Linked DNA regions of Oryzias latipes. The protein of the gene in region 1 purifies or fractionates together with the protein of each later gene. This does not show direct contact. Links are inferred from orthologs where the notes say so. Each region holds a gene or a part of one and is shown on either strand. Other genes may lie near its edges.

The links.
Region 2: the proteins of pus10 (region 1) and fam206a purify together in Homo sapiens (affinity purification with mass spectrometry; 3 studies listed by BioGRID and IntAct, counting the BioPlex papers as one, with this or other methods). This does not show direct contact. The link is inferred for Oryzias latipes from reciprocal best matches to the Homo sapiens genes PUS10 and ABITRAM.

Annotation. Positions count from the first base shown.
Region 1 is NC_019859.2:4,094,845-4,104,384, reverse strand, and holds the end of pus10 (putative tRNA pseudouridine synthase Pus10), read left to right. Parts: intron 1-192; 5' UTR 193-194; coding exon 195-320; intron 321-419; coding exon 420-689; intron 690-758; coding exon 759-958; intron 959-1,040; coding exon 1,041-1,155; intron 1,156-1,273; coding exon 1,274-1,335; intron 1,336-2,227; coding exon 2,228-2,273; intron 2,274-2,372; coding exon 2,373-2,437; intron 2,438-2,513; coding exon 2,514-2,599; intron 2,600-2,672; coding exon 2,673-2,798; intron 2,799-2,904; coding exon 2,905-2,961; intron 2,962-4,030; coding exon 4,031-4,107; intron 4,108-5,073; coding exon 5,074-5,129; intron 5,130-5,211; coding exon 5,212-5,329; intron 5,330-5,421; coding exon 5,422-5,564; intron 5,565-5,635; coding exon 5,636-5,735; intron 5,736-5,809; coding exon 5,810-5,848; 3' UTR 5,849-6,107; downstream 6,108-9,540. UniProt on the Homo sapiens protein: Protein with different functions depending on its subcellular location: involved in miRNA processing in the nucleus and acts as a tRNA pseudouridylate synthase in the cytoplasm.
Region 2 is NC_019869.2:9,200,690-9,211,321, forward strand, and holds fam206a (protein Simiate), read right to left. Parts: upstream 4,594-10,632; 5' UTR 4,481-4,593; coding exon 4,399-4,480; intron 4,291-4,398; coding exon 4,239-4,290; intron 3,912-4,238; coding exon 3,782-3,911; intron 3,704-3,781; coding exon 3,627-3,703; intron 3,549-3,626; coding exon 3,479-3,548; intron 3,324-3,478; coding exon 3,189-3,323; 3' UTR 2,929-3,188; downstream 1-2,928. Other genes in the region: ctnnal1 (alpha-catulin), read left to right, coding at 223-306, 1,016-1,186; zinc finger BED domain-containing protein 4-like, read right to left, coding at 6,675-6,911, 6,999-7,138, 7,358-7,424. UniProt on the Homo sapiens protein: Actin-binding protein that regulates actin polymerization, filopodia dynamics and increases the branching of proximal dendrites of developing neurons.

The DNA.
Region 1 (9,540 bases):
TACCTCAAAATACAACAGTATTTTATTGTGTCGCATGTCATTCATTGCAGTTATCCTGGGATTAAAGAAATAACAGCCAAAGTCTAACAAAAGTAATTGAAAGAGGGGCACATTTTAGTCTGAAAAGGATGTTGTTTTTTTAATGTGGTAGTGACATAAGTGATTCTGACGTGGGTTGTTTGTGACCTGCAGTCATGCTGCCGCTGAAGGAAAAGGACAAACCCATCATCCAGAAGCTGCTGGTGGCCGGATGCTGCGCTCGCTGCATCCTGCGGTTCTGCTGCGTCGGTGTCCAGTCCGCCTACCGGCAGCCGGAGCAGGTAAGACCGTCGAGGCTCGAGCAAACTTCAGGTTGAAAGGAAAACAAACGATGCTTTAAATAAAGAGCTGCTGATAATCGACTTTACTTTCCTGTGCAGGTGACACTGCAAGAAATGCAGGCGTTCGTGTTGAAAGGAGAAAATGAAAAGGTTCAGGATCCAGCGGCTGCGGCGTCCACTGGTGAAGACAACAACTCCCATGATGCAGCAGAAGTGCTTGAGGGCCCACCCTGTAAAAGAGTTAAGCTGGATCCCGGCGATCATGCCGACCCGTCGGAGGATGAAAAGTCAAATCTTGGTGAATCTCAAGTTTGCGTGGCGTGTTTGGGAATCTTGCAGGATTTGTGCGGCACAAACCAGGCAGTTAAGGTGTGTTGATTGGAAATCGGCCGATCAAGGAGAGTTTTGGCCACAGCTCAGACATTTGTGTTTTCACAGATAGCAGACACGGTGAAGGCACAGAAGTACGAGTTCGACTCCTTGGTGCTGTCCATCTCTCTGCCGGCTCAGCTCTGCGTCCGTGAGGTGAGTGAAAGTGGGGCCTCCGTCGTCGCAGTCATCAGCTGCATCCCGGTGACGCGCGCTGTTGTTTTCATCCTGCAGCACTCCTGTTGGCTCCACGTGAAGAAGGAAGTGAGGTCAGAGGGCGTGGAGAACATCATTGCCGTCAGAAGTGATCCAGTGCTTTGAATGAGATGTTTCCTTTTATTGCTCGTCTAGAGAAAAGGGTCTGGTGCTCGACAAAGATGATGTCATCCAGGTGAAGGAGGCCTTCAAGTGGATCATGCAAAGTCTGGTTGCAAAGGAGTTGGGGGGCGTTGCTGTAGTTGGCAAAGTAGGTGACATTCAGCAGCGGAACGATTGAGCAAATCAAAAGCCTCGCTGGGGTTCGGAGGCCTTTCCCGTGATCTGATGACCACACGATTCACATGAAGCTGACTTTATGTTTGCAGAGCGGCTTTGAAGTCGGCGTGGAGTTCACTCATCCAGAAACGGACTCTGACTGCCACTTCCTGTAAGTGCCAGACGCTGGCCGCTCCTGCACTCACAATGATAAGCTGTAAAAGAACGCGTGGACCTGCTGGAACTGTGTAAAGGTTTTTAAAACTCGCTGAACTGTTGTGAGGTTTTTATTATTTATTCTGGCTTTAACACACATATTTTTAATCGTGCAGTACAGACCAAAAGTTTAGACTCACCTTCCCATTCATTTGAATGAGAAGGTGAGTCCAAACCTCTGTTCTGTACTGTATATCCTTGTTTTTAATGACTCATGGACATTTTCATTCTGTCCCACAGACGTCCTGGACTGAAGGATACGATTGTTTGTGCAATCCTTCTGTCATCCGCCACAAAATCTAAAACTCAGCAAACGTGGGCATGCACCTAGTAACCGGTAGAAATGAATTTTGGGCATGGGGAAAAGTTACAACCACCACTGATGTTTTGTTGACCTTTGACCTCAGGAAGATACTTGTAATCTTTAATTTTCAAAAATAAAAATCGCCTTTACCACACCTTTAAACTCCTCCTAAAGGATTTTGATCTCTCACCTCCTAACTTCTCGAGCATCATTGTGAAGCTACTTGGGACACACACACACACACTCACACTCACACACACAAACACACGAGCCTGCAAGATTTTCTGAGCCACGTAACAGATTTTGTTTCCATTCATTTTATTCTATGGTTCTCCCACTATGATGTCGTCATTTTTTATTATTATTATATTTTTTAAGGGAGGGGGGGGGGTCGTTCACTGTGAAGTTTTCATTCAAAGGCGATGTAAGACAGAAGAAGCGTAAAAACGATCTGGACCTTCTGTCCAGGACGGCTGCGGGACAGAATCAAGTTTCTGAGTGACGTCTACAAAAGCAAAACCTTCAACTTCTGTTTTTCCAACAGAGCTAAAGTCTGTCCCGACTGCTTCAAACCCACCAAAAACAAGCAGGTGAATTGAAAGTTTCATGATTTAAGGATATTGAAACATCACTAAATTGTTGTTTGTTTTTCTTCTGTTGGGTAAAAAAACTGTTGTTTGTTTCTACAGTCGGTGTTCACCCGCATGGCTGTGGTCAAAGCTCTGGAAAAGATATCCGACGACAAGTTCCTAAAGTAAGTTTCGCCTTCAAACGGAGAGTTTTTCATCAAATGTTAGTTGTTTTTTTAATTTCTGCTTCATCCTCTGCAGGCAGTACCCCTGTCCCCCGGCCCGGCCAGCCTGCAGCTGCGTCCCTCAGGACGTGCAGTGCCTCCATGTGTCCGTCTTCATAGCAGGTAGATGTTTGGAAAATGTCCTGAAGGTGTTGGTGACGACTGAATCCCGTCTCCTCTTCCTCTGCGCGTCCAGGGAGGTACAACAAGTTCTGCCGCAGTCTGCCTCAGACTCCCTGGTTGATTGATGGAGAAAGGAGGATGGAGTCCTCGGTGGAGGAGCTGATTGCAGCGCCCATCCTGACGGCCTTCAGAGCTGGCGGTGAGTCCACGGCTGAGGCGCCGCCGCAGTCCCGAAGCCGCCACCCCATGACAGCGAGTAAACCGGGGATAACCATCATAACAAAGCCTTGCTTCTGGTTTGGCAGGATTTAATTTCTCCTCGTCTGGTAGAGAAGACGTGGATGTCCGGACTCTGGGAAACGGTGAGTTTAACGCGCCGTTTAACGGAGATGGACGCTCTATGGGGTCATGTGACGGCGGAGCCAAACTTGAAACCAGATTTTTTTGCTTCACGGTGTTTCAGGCTGCTGCAGAGCAGACGGTTCAAAACCCACCTGTCAATCGTTTCTGCACACGTTGAAGAAAAAATGTTTAGCAAAACAAAAATGTTTGTAAAAACATTAATATATAGCTGTGATGAAGTCATAAAATTTCCTGAAAAGGTGAAATTAGAATGTAAACATGTTCATTTCTGCCTTAAAATGGAGCTAATTTACATTTACATAATGGAAAATAAGCGATTTCTTGTGAGTAAACGACAGCTGTGAAGCTTGTTGACACAACCGTGTTGTGATATCACAATTGAATTGCTTGGTTGTTTACATTGACTGTATCTGAGGCCTGGAACGAGTGAGTGTGATGTCATCGCACACACCTACCGTCAGCTCCAACCAAAGGCGGTCAATTAAGTCGTCACTTTCTTGTGATACGGTCGCCGCCATGTTGAAGGCTGGACGTCGTCAGTGAGCGGTGATTGATCCAAGTCGGTCTGAGTCAACATTTCTATGGCAACCACCCTCACCAGTCAGGAGTGAGCTTGTTGGAAGGCCACACCCCTACAATTTAAAAACTGGCTACAAAAAAATCAAAATAATTAAACTTTTCAGACGCTCAATGCGAGACCACCTACGTTTGTTGAGGCATCTGATTGGCCACTTTGTAACTTATATAACTTGGACTGCAAATAAAATGGAAAAAAAAGATTAGGAAGATCAAGCACATGAGCAAGAATGGTTATTCTGACCAAGCTGTGTGTTTCTCTATAGAAGTCTATGTCTCTCGCTGGGAGGGGGGGTCACTCAGTTCAGTTGTCGTGTACAGTCAATGGTTGTGTTGCACATCACCATGTGGGTACTTGATTTTGTTTTTTAAAGTGCTTCAATCCGGAAGTCAAAGGGTTGAAATTCAGGATTGTTTTTTTAATTGAAATACATAAATCTACCTATTTCTTATTCTGTATCTTTTACTGTCATGTGGCGTGTTTTCCAACAGGACGACCGTTTGCGATGGAGCTGCAGAATCCACACAGATCCAGATTGAGCAAACTGGAGATGAAAGAGCTACAGGAGGTGATTAAAGTCTTTCTTGAGCTTTCCTTTATAATGCAAAAGTCTCAAAGCTCTGCAAAATACGTTCACACGGCCACTTCCAAAGAAAAGTCTACGTAAGCAAGTGTTTCGGGGTTCTGCGTTCAAAACTCGGGTCTTCACGCACGCTTTCAAGACCGTTTTTGGGCTTGCGTTGCTAGTTAAACAAGGTTGAACTTTGACCTCTCTGACCCGGATTTGACGTATGGACGGTGTCCCTCTTAAGTCACAAAAGAGCCAACTGTTTGTAAATTGATCATGGAGGAGAAATTCCTAGTTGTGATTTGTTCCGGATGCCAAATCTTTCATATATTGGACTGGGGCTGTGGGGAAAAAAAAAAAAAGAAGCAAGTTTTACGAGATTTGCACATCTACAACATTTCGCATGAAGCCTCTTCTGGTGCGGTTCGGCTGCAGCTCACCGCTCCCCCGGGGAGTGGGTCAAATGCGGAGAAGAACTTCCCCACTGTGGGATAAATAAAGTATCAATTATTATTAGTATTAAAAAGAAGAAGACCCCCCCTGCTTGTCCAGTGTGAACACCGTGGGCTAACCGTGCGTTCTTGAATGGGCCCAGTGAGTACGTAGCTTAAGTCAGTTTTTTTTCTACCAAAGAGGCAGATTTATAGTTTTTAGGGCTTTTAGATCTTTTTCAGAGTTCTATCAGTAATTCATTCTAATCCCAACTATTTTAAGATATTTTGCTCTTTCATCACTAAAACTAACCTATAAATGACTCGAGCTTAAACAGTTTTTCACATGCAGCGACCAAATATAGCAAATGTCAATTGTTTAAATAAAAAAAATGGTCTTTCTCATTATTTCTCATCTACCTTGCAGGACCCTCTTAAAACGAGGGGGTTCTCCTCTTGTTTAAATGTTTGATTAAATGAGATAAAAAACAAAGGAATTTGTTTCTTCAGAGCCGCTACTGTCTTCTGTTTTCAGACCATAAACAAGTCCTCAGATAAGATCAGAGTGCGAGACCTGCAGATTGTTACCAGGTGAGCGTGGATGCCTCACCTGCGCGGCCGCCTGTGGGTCGACGAGTGAGCGCGATTGACGGCGCTGTGTGTCAAACTGCAGGGAGGCCATGGGTCGGATGAAGGAGGGAGAGGAGGAGAAAACCAAGTCGTACACGGCGCTTGTTTGGACCCAGAGGCCCATTCAGAAAGAAGACATTGGCTTCATCGATGAGATCAAGGTCTATCTGGTCCAACGATCAGAAGAAACTAGACTTTCTTTCTCCATGCGCAGCACAGCAACACATTCTGAAATGCCGTTTTGTCTCATCAGGACCTGACTCTAGGTCAGAAGACTCCTCTAAGGGTTTTGCACCGGCGGGCTTTGGCGGTCCGACAGCGAGTCATCCACAGCATGAACGCCCGCTACGTGGACGATCACCACTTTTACCTGCGGCTGAAAACGCAGGCCGGGACGTATCCTCACTGCTGCTTAGTTTAATTTTGTCAGAGCCGCTGCGGGAAACTTCTTAACGCCTGACGAACAGCTACATCAAAGAGTTTGTGCACGGAGACTTCGGTCGCACTAAACCCAACCTGTGTGAGCTGCTGAAAACCGACACGGACATCCTGGAGCTGGACGTGGAGGTGGGGCCCTCGACCTAAACGTTTCTGACCCGACGTGTCCAAACGTTGAGTCTAACTTTTGTTTCCTGTGTCAGTCTGTGGACGTGGACTGGCCTCCCGCCATCCCAGAGTGACCCCGGAAGATGTTCTTCATCGGAGAAAAGCTCACTTCAGGGAGGCGGCGTGGTGGCTCTCTGGAGGGGAGGAGCTTGAGCCAAGCTCTCAGCTGACCATATTGGTTCTCGTTATCCTTTCTGTTGATCAGTCGACCTGCATCTCAGGTTTAGTGACACTTGACAGTGTCTTCGTTCTGTTTTAAGTTAGTTCTGTAAAAGCGTCTGCAAGCAGAGATGATCTTTGTTTTCGATTAAAAAGAAGTGTTGGCAAAGGAAACCGTGTCAGCGCTGACTTTTTTACTGATTATTTAGAGGAAAAATGCTCCTCAGGAAACTCCAATCAGTATCAGTGTCCAATGAGGAGCTTCACACATTTGACGAGGAAACAGCTGTGTGTGCTACAGATGCAGGGACGTCTGTTGGATTTTCTTCAGAAATTTGCTGTCACTTGAGGTCCATCCATCCATCCATCCGTCCGTCCCTTTCAGACTCAAAGGGCTGGAACCCCACCCAGCAACTGTTGGCTCACATTCACACCCAGCCCTTGTGCTATCTTATGGGGTCAAAATGACCCCACCCTTACATTGACGTGTTACCCCTACCATGATAAGGGTGGAGAGGATTTCATGTAATGCATGGACACCAGTGAAGATCTGAAGAAAAACGGTTCAGCGCACTGTCTAGTGGGTCTAAATGACCCAACTCCCAACGTTAACGTGCCTTGGATAGCACAAGGGTTACGGGTAATTTAGAGACACCAATTAACCTCTGAAGCATGTTTTTGGACTGTGGGAAGAAACCAGAGTTCCCACAGAGAATACACACATGCACAGGGAGAACATGCAAACTCCACACAGAAAGATTCAAACCCTCTTGATGTGAGGGAAGAGTGCTAACCACTACACCACTCTCCAGCTCTCCTCTTGAGATCAATTTAGTTATTTTTTTTACCTAATACTCATAAATGAGACGCTTCAGAATTCATTACTCATCTTTCAGTATTTGTCATTTACTACCTCAATTCAACTAAGAGTTTGTTGGATTCTGCTCTGCTAAAAGAAGTAAAAAAACAACTACAATTTTGATCTTTAGATGCTGTCAAAATTCACCAGAACTGTCAATCAAATCTGGACAACTAACCGCATGTAAACCTTCACATTCCTTGCAGTCTTTTTGTCAGAAGTCAGAACTCTGTTTCCCCCTCTGGTCACCAGCGGGAACTATGTCCAGAGTCCCGAATGCACTTCATCTCCCAGCAACCCCAGCGTGCACTTCCTGGATGCCACACAACTGAGTCATATTCACTCAATCACAGTCGACTTAAGGTGCCACATAGGGAGAAGGATTGTTTGTGCCACTCTGTTTTTATTACCGAGTGTTGGAGCTGGACCAGAGCTTCTGGATCCTGACTACCCTGTCTCTCCTCTGATGATCTCCTGCCTGTTATCGATTCCTGCCTGCCTGACCCGGAGTTAGCTTTGTGGACTTTTAGCTGAGCTAATAAACCTGCTGCACTTGAATCCAGCCTTTTGCTTGTTCTTGTGACTCTGTTGCTCAACTTGACTTGGATATTTCACTTTGCTAAAGCCCAGTTGAGAAGAAATTACAGCTTTTAACAAGCTCTTGAGGCGTTTTTCTCATGATGGACATATAGAAAATTGCAGTAGCTCTAAGTTGCATTTCTGAGCGTTTCTTCATTTAAATCGTGAATCAGGAATGGAGAAAAAAAGTCCTGTTAGGGGGGAAAAAGATATTTGTTACATAGAAAATAAGGTACTTTAAATACAAGTTTCTTTGGCTCAAAGAAGCAAAAACCATCCAAAAAATAATAAAGAGATGGACACAACAGAACCCCTGAAATGTTTTTCTTTTTAATTTAATTCAAAATAAATACTACCACGGCAATGCAAGTCCACTACTGGGGTCTTGCTCTAACGTTTTGGTAAGAAAACAAACAAGCAAAATGATCCCAAAAACAAATAAAATAAGAGACTTTAATGCATCCATCGTCATCTTTTCAGCAACTTCCAAGAGGTGCCTCTGTTTGTTTTACAATATACAAGAGATCACTGCCAAGAATGATGAAACATAAATAAAATAAAAACGTATAAAAGTTAGGGGGGTGGGGGGGCCCTCGAGGAATGGTGGAACAACCTGATGAGGCCTGTACTATAAAACAAAAAAAGTCTGCCATGGTCCCGGGCGAAGGGCCACAGAACCCGCTCAGAGGTTCCAGGAGCCCCTCATTCTCGTGGGCCACGCTGACGGGAGGAAGGTGGGGTCAGGAAGCATCCTCCGTGTACGGTTAAGAGTCAGCAGGTGGGAAAAGAAAAAGCTTCACGGTCTAGTCCTCGTATTTTTACAACTTCTTCTCCTCTTAAATGCAGTTCTGAGTGGGTTCCAGGTCTTTATTGTCTTCAGCAGGTCTGCCTCGTCGCTATGGACAAAAAAACAGGGAAAAAAAAGAAGCATTGCATATGTACATCGACAAGTAAGTGACTTTTCGCGGCAGTTCTTCGTCTTCTCGGCTCAGTTTTCTTGTGACACGATTAATAACTCAAAACGTTTTCACACTTGGAAAAACAAGTAAATAAACTCTCTGGTAATACTGACAGGATAGATGTGGCAAAAGCTCTGTATGAGGAGCTGGAAGCCTCTTCTGATAGCATCTGTGTGATAAACTAGACTTTCTTTCCTATTTAAAGAAGTATTTGTCGGTTTGTGTGTGGATAAGTAATTTAGCCCGAAAACATGCAGCTTCTGCAGCTCTCCAGCCATTGATATGCTCATCTTCATCACATAAATATTTGGGAGCGGCACGGCGTGATCCGAGGAGTCTGGACAGACGCCGGCGGCGCCCTCAGAGAAATCAGATCAGTGGCTGCTCCTCGCCACCAGGAGGAGTCTCGTTTGACGTGGAGGAGCCCAGTGAATTCACAGTATTCAAGACTTTACACACTTCAGAGGGCTCCTCTGGCCGAACCCGAGAGCCCACGTCCCCCGAGGACAGCATCGAGCCGCGATCTGGAGCAGATGCAGACCGAAAAACAGCAACGAGACCCTTTCCTCCTGGTCCTAACACCTCCTCTACACTTTCATCCTTTAGGATCACTTCCCAATCTCAAAGATTTACTGCACCAGAACGGAAACTGGGGCTCCTGAGTCTGTTCAAAACATAAACCGGAAAAGTTAAGGAGGACCAAACTCCTGAAAGACATGACTGTGGACACCATGTCCCCCCCCGTCAGTCCTCCAGCTCATTCCAGTGTTTGTAGACTGGGTTCGCTTTAACATTTCTGGAGAATAAATACATAAATTAAAAAAAAGCAGCATTTCAAACATCTTTAAAGGAAGATTAATTTGACAGAAAATATATCAAAAAAGCATTTTTGCAAACAAAGTGACGCAGTAGAACTTAAACGATGGATTTCCAGAGGCATGGCCTCAGCGTGGGCGGCGCAGGACTCGCACACACCTGAACCCGCGGCGTCCGGTTCGGTGACCTCCGGCTGAACGCTTTTCTGCGCCGTGACGGCATCGCGTCCTTCCTCTGCGCCCGACAGCGGTGGGGAGCAAACGGAGGAGAAGCAGAAGCGTTGGGAGCAGAGGAGGCCGCCGCCCTCCGCCGGCTGTGGGGAGCGGCTGGACGGGCGTGTGCTCTGCGGGCGCCTGAGTGAACTATGCGATTCCAGTAGTGTTTCAAAATAAAA
Region 2 (10,632 bases), on another chromosome or scaffold:
CAAATGAACAGACATTTGATCTGGCAGTTTAAACACTTTTACAATATTTAACGTTTTATATTTCCCACCAAAGCCCGCCATCAAAAGAGGGAAAAAAGAAAGAAAAAATACCTTTAAACATATCAACTGCTAATGTAAAAGCTTGGGTAAATGAACCCAATTCAATCAATCTGAAACATTTAATTTTAAGCGAAAATGTCTTTTCTTTGTATTTGTCTGCAGGTGGACTCCACCATTCAAGCAAGCAGAAGTCTAATGACAGTGGTCGCCTCCCTCCTTCCACTCTGTAACAAGCTCATCAAAAAGGTGACATCCAGACACTAAACTGAACACTAAACTCTTTAAAGTGCCACTTTAAATCCATCTTTTGATCTATTCTAAAAGCCCTCCCAGTGGTCTTTTAATTATAGTTGTGTTGTTTTTAGACAAAATCATAAAACCTGTGTCGTTTTCTAGGACATAGTTTCTGCAGAGCAGAAGGAGTGCGTTAAGAATTCACCTCTGAGTTATAGCTGTGAATGTCTTTCCTGTTCTCTCCCAGCTATCCAGCCGTACATTTTTGAACCAGATGTCACTTTGGACAAGGAAAACAAAGACGTACACGGATCAATTTGTCTACAAGTGGATGCATCAGAATGGAGCAAAGCAGGAAGCTTGTGAACCGCAATCTTATTCCAACGGCATTTTTCCGTCTGCTCCTGATTCACAAAAGCTTGAATAAAAACTCAGAAATACAATTTTAATCTGAAGATTTATATATATATATGTATATATATATATATATAGATATAGATATATATATAGATATGTATGTCCCTCATTATCAGAAAAATGCCACAGGAACATATTAAAAACACCAAAAAGACCATTTTCATAGAACTGGGTCTAATGAAAAATATCCCAAAACACAAAGATGCCGTCTAGAACAACATTCACTTCATTAAGTTCTCAGTTGGGGGAAAAGCATCAGTGTTTAAATGTCTTTGTCCCCTAATCAGAATCTCCTCTGTTGCAGCATAAATCAGAGCGTACAAGCCTCAGTTCCCCTCAGGACTGGAGGGAGACGCAGCACACGTCCGCTCCAGTTAAAAAAGACGCGGCCCTGAATGGCAATAACAGCAACGGCTTTGGAGTCAAGTCCTTGGACGAGCACATGGCCAGCCTCAACCTACTGGAGAGCAAATAATTCAGGAGATGATCTCCATGTTATCTTGTTCTCCGCATCAGCAAAGCAACCTCACTTCTGTGGAGCACTCCTGATCCAAGAAAGAGTCACTAGAAAAGTGGCTAGAAGCTGTAAAAACAGACTTTGTTGGGCAGAATTTGCCTTAGGTGGAATAATTCTGCAGTTAAAAACATAAAAGCCCAATCTGGAGGTAGTCATGCACTGTTAATCTGAAACAGTTCCATCCCAGTCCACTAGAGGACGACAATCAAAACTACCGGTAGTATTGCGTTTCCAAGAAAAGTGAGGTCATCTTAAATCTAATTTTGGAGTAACCGTCATTAGTTGAGCTAATAAAATGATCAGAAGTCAGGAAATAAAAGCCCCCCTTCAGCCATACATCTGTCTTCACCATGTGCCTCAGTGTAACAGACCTGTGTGCTTTGTGCTGTATTGTTAATGTATTGGACAAGTTACATAAGGACAAAAAAACACACAAGCTACATGATGCAGTCATCACTACAACCTTTGTGCAATCTCAGCCTGGTAACATGAACCTTTTAACTAAATGTTTTATAGTGGCCATACGAGTATTTTACAAGTTCAACTTCATTTGTCATCATTTCACGTGTGATAAGTTCATTTAGCGAAAGAAAATCTGTTCAATGCCAAATATTCTGACTACTGCAAACTAATCAGAAGTGACAGCGGAGACTTTTTTTTTTTACCTTATTTAGGAACGAAAAGGTTAAGTAAAGCTTTTTAACCCTTGTGCTATCTTAGATGACCCCACCCTTACATTGACGTCTTCTCCCTACCATGACTAAGGTGGATAAAGGTGGAAAGATTTCATGTAATCCATGGACACCAGTGAAGATCACAAATCATTGAAGAAAAAAGGTTCAGAGCACTGTCTAGTGGGTCTAGATGACCCAACTCCCAATGGTAAAGTGCCTAGGATAGCACAAGGGATAACGAGAAATTATATCAGATGCTACCGTCTTAAATATTACAGAAATTATTCAGAAGTGCCACGCATTTGTGGATACTGGGAAGCATCTGAACCACTGACTGTAAATGAGGACTGGACTGAGTAACCCCTCCCCCTGGCGTCCCAAACAGGAAGTATCCACTGGTTCCAAGAAACCAAAATCTCATAGACCTTTTATAAAGCACTAGTTAGCATTTTTGTTAGTCAGAATAATCTTTCTTACCCTGATACCTTATTTTTACATAATCTTGATAATTTTATATGTTTTTTTCTTTTTTGCAAGTTATTCAACGTATAAACTGACCAGACACCTCAATAACAGGTAACCCCCCCACATGGAACATTTAACAGATTACCCCCGCTTTAGGTGGTATAATAAGCTCACTCCTGATTGGTTAGAGGGGTTGCCATAGAAACAATGACTCAGATCGACTTGGACCAATCACTTGCTTACTGACAATTTCAGGCTCCAACAGGCAAAAAAATGACTGAATCGACTTCGTTGGAGCCAGAAGTCCTTTGCTATGGGTGACATCACACTCAGTCCAGCTCTCATATATAGTCAAAGATCTGAACTCAACTGCATGTATTAATATGATATATTTCTAAGTATTTATGGTACTTGAAGCCTATTCAGTGATGGTTTTGCTATTTCTAGAGGCAGTCTGATGATGATTTAACTGTGTGAGAGCAGTTAAAGATGTGAAAAAAATCATATCTAGTTTTGGATCACCTCTTCTTTTGACAGCTGAAACGTGAAGAAAAGAAGAAATAAACAATATTTTTTTTAATTAAAAAAAAGTCACCGGTTGTTTTTTTTACAACAAAAAAATGAACGACTCACTATTTTCTCCAAAAGTAATTTAACAACCACAAAAAAAGCAAGGCCTGTTAGAATCAAAATCAACAATAGTATTGATTAATACATAATTTTTCAATGCACCATTCAGTCTGTACTCCATGTGTTTTGAGCTGATGGGGAGGAAAAAAAACCCAAAAACTGCTGTTCCAGCTTGAAGATGGCACTCTTCATCAGGACGCTTGTGGCTGCTGATCACGCTTGGAGACGATGCTCTCAAACTCTTTCCTGCTCAACAGATTTTCTGTCACACTCTTGCTTTCCTCAAACTTTGGGAGGATGACAGCGATGTATCCTTCAGTTGACGGCTGATTGAACAAAAGAGAATAAATGTGTCAAAAAGGATGAAATATTACAGGATTTTTGGTTTGAAAGTGTTCTGATGTAGTTCTGGTATCCAGACGGTAAATTCTACATTTAAAGAGACATAAATGTTCAGCTTTGATGACGTAAACAAACTTGCCTTTTCTAGTAACAGATTTGGTCTTTCCAAAATATTCTCATTGACCTCCAGCAGACGGCCGCGGATGCAGCTGAAGACAAATGTTTAAGTTACAAAAACGTTCCATAAAGTGGAAGATGAATCCAGGATAAAGGGCGGGAAATCTCACCTGTAGATTGTATACTTGGTCTCATCTGTGCATGTAATTCTACACAAAGGTGCAAAATCTGTAAGAAACTGACCTCCCTGTTTTGGGGAGAGGGGAGTAAAACATGAAAAAGGAAACATTTTGATACTAGAAATAAGAGCACAAAAATAGTTTACCCTCTTGGATTTTCCAGAAACTTTATTGTTTAAGCGACTGCAGCCGTTACTGATCTGGTAGTTTATGGTTTTGATTGTGCGTCCATTCTGGAGAACCGGATGGGTTTCTGCTAAAGTGACGACACATATTCTGGAGAGCAAAAAATATATATATGAAAGTCTTTAGACAATATTTATTCTAGAAGTAAATAAACTATAAGCTGAGTGGAAAATGACAGTAAAGTAACTGTCTGGTGTGTGTATAAAATGCAGACTTAACTGCAACTATAAATCACCTAAACTTGAACAAAAATGTAATATTTTCTGTTCAAGTTGTTTTAGATTTAGAGGATTTAGTCTTCTGTTGCAACTATAACATATATTGGGATTTTTACACTAAAGGAATTCTCAATGGTACCGAGACAACTCACTGCGCATGCGTAACGCGTTAGCAAAGAAAACTACTAATTAACTCCACCTGTTTGAATGCTGGAGAATACAGTGGTCCTCGCATGGTTGCCCCTTCATATCTAAAATATAGAAACAATTGCTTATTTTTAAGCCAATATACTTGAACATATTACTTATCCAGTTAAATAAAAATATCGACGGACATTAATTAATCAAGACTTTCTTACCTGCTCTGTACCACCGTGTGTAGTATCGGTCGATAATTGATGGCGGCTCTAATTCAGTATCTTTCTGCGTCTCGCTGTCCATTAAATCTTAAATGCAATAACAAAATTAAACACCTAAAACTGCGTCGCTGGTGTGTGTTCAACGGACAACTGGGGGCGTGACACGCTGGGTCCCTCCCTTAAAAACGTCCGACTACTTCTGCAGGAGTTAAAGAGTTCCACCCTCTACCTAAAAAGGAGTTTTAATTTTTTTTATTACTTTTTTATTTTTTTATTCCACTGAATAGTAGGACTTTTAAAAACACAAAAGATTTTTAGTAGTTCCCCACTAAGTTTGGTCGAAATTAGCTTAACATGTTAAAAGAAAAGGGAAAAAAAGGGAGCTAAAATCCACCAATTCTTTATCCCTACCATTTCTTAAAAAACTCAGTTAATCTAGTTTGTGTTTTTTACCCCTTTGTTTACATTCCCCATGTTAAATCTTATTAAATCAATGTTATTTTTTTTCACAAACTGTGTAATTCCAACTTTAAAGTCCTATAAACACTCACTTTTTAATTAAAATGATTATTGCCAAATGATCACTTCTTGGATCAATTTGTCTACAAGTGGATGCATCAGAATGGAGCAAAGCAGGAAGCTTGTGAACCACAGTCTTATTCCAACGGCATTTTTCCGTCTGCTCCTGATTCACAAAACCTTGAATAAAAACTCAGAAACACAATTTTAATCTTAAGTTTATATATATATATATATATATATATATATATATATATATATATATATATATATATATATATATATATATATATATATATATATATATATATATATATATATATATATATATATATATATATATATATATATATATATATATATATATTAGTGATGGGACGATGATACCTCAAGGTGTGTATTGACACACTAAACAAACTGTGTTGTCACTGTATTGATACTGTGTTGGTCACCCAATAGTGACCCCAGCAGTAGTTATAAAATCATTGCAGGTAAAGAAATTCCTTGTTGGTGTAAATGCTAAAACTGAGTTAGTATGTAAAATATAGCAAATTAGAGTAAAAATTCAGAGTTACAATTTTTTAACTTTTGTGCACATTTGTCATCTTAACTTTTAAATCATATGAAATAAAAGACAAAAAGTGATTAGTTCATGAATTTTTATTGAGAAACCAGCTCCCCAGCCGCATGGTACAGACGATGATGGTGAGCAGAGGGTTTTAAGTGCAAGTTGATAAAGATGTGGGTATATTTCCTGGTTCCATTTCCAATATTGCAAAGGATCTTGGTTTCTGGGTGTGTTTGTTTCTGCCAGGTAACGTTAGACTTCAATAATGGAGTCAGCTGTTGCGTTCCTCGTCTTCTGGGTCTCTGCAACCTCCAGATCTAAAGTTTTCCAGAGATTGTGCCCTAAAAAAATAGTTAATCATTACTTTATTATCACATGATATATCATATCACAAAGTGCCACTGAAATGTATTTTCATACCTGAACTGGGTTCTGACCCATGTGAAGAGCTAGGCTCTTCTTCTCTTGGCTCCTCATTTCTTCTGCACATTCTGACTGCAGTCTCTTCACCGCTTCACTTGCCTTTTGCTGACTAACAAATCCATTCTTTTTAAATCTGGGATCTAACAGAGTTGCCAGAGTCATCACACAGAGATTCCATGCCGCAAATAGGGTTAGTTAGCCGCTTCCTCAGGTTTTCAGCCAGTTGCTGAGCAGCTATTTTTGTTACAGTTGTGGCCTGACGTTGGAGCTCAATGTGGATCATTCTCATCATGGGAATGACCTTCGACCCAGAGACCCTTTTTTCCTCTTGAAGCTTGGTCAAAAGGAGCTAGAACCCTGAGCATCTCTTCAATGATCTGACATTCTTCTGGAGTCAGTGGAGTGATGTCAGGTTTTGATGAGGCCAGTGACACCCAGACTGCCTCCTTCTGCTCAGTCATTCCTTCAAACATGTAGGTACTGTTCCGTCGTGTTGGCACCTCGTTTATTCATTTATGGCCCCGTGTTCCCAGCTGTTGCTGTATTTGAGTGAGCTTCTCTTTAGCAGTCATGCTCCATCGAAAGTATGTCACAATGTGTCGTGTTTTGTTGCGTATTTCAGTTATTGTTGGGATTTGATCACATGATTTTCTCACAGTTAAATTCAGGGAATGGGCTATACAAATGGTATGCCGTATTTGCAGCATTCAAGCACATGCAGTCATGTTTGCTGCTGCATCAGTGACAAGACACCTGACCTTTCCTGCTATGCCCCACTCCTCCATGAGGCTCCTTTTAACCGTGGCAATGTTTTCTGCAGTGTGTTTCTGAGGAAAATGCTGCACTGCCAAGACTGATGAATGGAGTTCATGGCTAGATATGCCTCCATATTCATAGACGTCCACATATCAGCTGTTAAAGTAACAGCAACGGCACTCTGGAGGTCCTTTTTGGTTTTCTCCTTTTCCTCCTCATATTTCTGGCTCACCAAGTCCTTGATGGTCTGAAAACAACCATACAAATACTGTTACACCAATAAAATATAGTTATATAGTTAGTACAAACATATAATAAACATTCTTAAACATACCTTCCTGCTTGGTAGAGCATACGAGGGTAAAATAAGCTTCAGAAGCTCCCTGAATCCCTCATTTTCAACAAAGCTGAGTGGCTGACAGTCTTTGATGATCATATTGACCACTGCCTCATCCACTGCTTGCTTGTTAGGAACTGCAAGCCAAAAGGAACTATTTTGTCAAAAGCTTAATAAAATGACTGTAATTTTTACAAACAATATCAAATAGACATAATACGACGTGGTGGAGCAGTGGTTAGCACTGTCGCCTCACAACAAGAGGGTTGGATGTTCGATACCTGGCCTGGAGCCTGTCTGTTTGCATGCGTGTTTTTTTTTTTTAGCACAATTTTTAGAGAGAATTTAATAAATACCTGGGGTACTCTCACGAGTATCTGCCAATTCTTCATAGCCATGCGTAGCTCTATAATGCCTCAGCATTGATGAAGTGCTCTTATTGATATAAGATAGCTCTGTGGAGCAGAGCCGACACTTCACCTACAATAACACAAAAAGTTTATTTATCTGAAAACAATTCAAACCTTTTACCAGAACATTGCATTCACTTGTTAAAAAAAATAAACACCCTATCTCATGATTAGGGATAAGGATCTCATAATTACATGATAACATGAATAAAGCAACTGTAAGGCTCTCTAACTGACTATCATATGTATCACGGGTCATTCACTTGATAAACTGATAAAGTGAGTGCAATGCGCCACCGTAAAAAATAGTATATAAAGGAGAAAACGATTTACCTTGTATGGCGTCACGAGATCAAAATTATTCCACACCGGGGAACACTTCCTAGGACGATCCAGGATCAAGCAGAACTCCATCCGACAAACCCACGACATGTTGATACAGTTTGTTTCCTGATAAACACACTTTGGCGCGGCACATCCAAACATATATATATATATATATATATATATATATATCCCTTATCATCAGAAAAATGCCACAGGAACATATTAAAAACACCAAAAAGACCATTTTCATAGAACTGGGTCTAATGAAAAATATCCCAAAACACAAAGATGCCGTCTAGAACAACATTCACTTCATTAAGTTCTCAGTTGGGGGAAAAGCATCAGTGTTTAAATGTCTTTGTCCCCTAATCAGAATCTCCTCTGTTGCAGCATAAATCAGAGCGTACAAGCCTCAGTTCCCCTCAGGACTGGAGGGAGACGCAGCACACGTCCGCTCCAGTTAAAGAAGACGCGGCCCTGAATGGCAATAACAGCAACGGCTTTGGAGTCAAGTCCTTGGACGAGCACATGGCCAGCCTCAACCTACTGGAGAGCAAATAATTCAGGAGATGATCTCCATGTTATCTTGTTCTCCGCATCAGCAAAGCAACCTCACTTCTGATCCAAGAAAGAGTCACTAGAAAAGTGGCTAGAAGCTGTAAAAACAGACTCGTGTTGGACAGAATTTGCCTTAGGTGGAATAATTCTGCAGTTAAAAACATAAAAGCCCAATCTGGAGGTAGTCATGCACTGTTAATCTGAAACAGTTCCATCCCAGTCCACTAGAGGACGACAATCAAAACTACCGGTAGTATTGTATGGAGAGAAATTAGACTCAGTCGGATTTGTGCGTGCGTAATTCTTGATTTGTGCGTAAATTAGGATTTGTGTATGCATATTCTTGCTTTGTGCGTGCGTAAATTAGGATTTGTGCATAACTTTGGATTTGTGCGTGATTTGTTATTCACATAACACGTTTTGTGTATAAGTTAAAAAAATATAAAATGAAAAAAATACAAAATGCAATTTACATATGCACAAATTAAGATTACAACAGCTTGAAACTACTTACACACACACATCTTTAAAAAACACGCACGAATCCCTTGTTACGCACACACGAACCCAAAGTTACGCACGGATCTACCGTGAGACTCTTTTCGCGTCTCACAAATCCGTCCGTAAGTGCTGCGTTTAAATACCAGTGGAATGCTCGGTCATTAGAATCTTCCTATCAGCCTTCCCTTCTAAACGTATTTCCTTCAGTGGGTGTAGCAGGGCTTAAAAAAACTTTAAAGGAAAATAAAAATAATTATCTGAGAATATGACGTTCACTCTTAAACGCTAATATATATATTAAAAGTATATTATTCTCCGAGACACCGAATTGATACAAAATGCGTAACAGGAACGACCAGTAGGAGGCACTGTTTTTTTTTCCGGAAAAATCAAAGGCAGTCAGACTGAGAGAGACACCGGAAGAATGGCGGCGCATCTCGGTGGTCAGCGCCCCGAAGTAAGTAGCCTCTATGTTCAACACTAACATCTACTGTCTTCATGTATTGATTGAGTCATTGTCTGGATACGTTTAGAAGGGAAGGCTGATAGGAAAATTCTAATGACCGAGCATTCCACTGGTATTTAAATGCAGCACTTACGGACGAATTTGTGAGACGTGAAAAGAGTCTCACGGTAGTCAGATCCGTGCGTAACTTTGGCTTCGTGTGTGCGTAACAAGGGATTCGTGCGTGTTTTTTAAAGATGTGTGTGTAAGTAGTTTCAAGCTGTTGTAATCTTAATTTGTGCATACGTAAATTGAATTTTGTATTTTTTTCATTTTATATTTTTTTTAACTTATACACAAAACGTATTATGTGAGTAACAAATCACGCATACACAAATCCTAATTTTACGCACAAATCACGAATTACGCACGCACAAATCCGACTGAGTCTAATTTCTCTCCATAGTATTGCGTTTCCAAGAAAAATGAGGTCATCTTAAATCTAATTTTGGAGTAACCGTCATTAGCTGAGCTAATAAAATGATCAGAAGTCAGGAAATAAAAGCCCCCCTTCAGCCATACATCTGTCTTCACCATGTGCCTCAGTGTAACAGACCTGTGTGCTTTGTGCTGTATTGTTAATGTATTGGACAAGTTACATAAGGACAAAAAAACACACAAGCTACATGATGCAGTCATCACTACAACCTTTGTGCAATCTCAGCCTGGTAACATGAACTTTTTAACTAAATGTTTTCTAGTGGCCATACGAGTATTTTACAAGTTCAACTCCATTTGTAACAGATCATTTCTCGCGTGATAAGTTCATTTTGCGAAAGAAAATCTGTTCAATGCCAGATATTCTGACTACTGCAAACTAATCAGAAGTGACAGCGGAGACTTTTTTTTTTACCTTATTTTGGAACGAAAAGGTTCAGTAAAGCTTTTTAATGAGAAATATCAGGTGTTACTGTCTTAAATATTACAGAAATAATGCCACACATTTGTGGATACTGGAAAGCATCTGAACCACTGACTATAAATGGTGTTCCAAACAGGAAGTATTGAATAGATTTGCAATAACTTAGATTTCAACAGTAAAACATCATGTAAACTAAGAGCAGATGGATACGTTGATACTTTCAACCAGTACCAGGGTGATGTCCCAATGAAAACAAACTAGCATAGCATTTGTGAAAACTTGTTGGCAATCTTACTGATCAGGTTTAGATGAATCTTATTTTTCTTTTAGAGAACTTAAGGTGGAGACAAATGTCTGAGGAGCTTTAGGAGTCATTTCTGTGGGGATGATTTCCAGAATAGAAACAAGGAGTGAGCTGGAAAATTGCTGCACATGCTTAAAAGGTAGACAGAAATGAAATGTTTTATG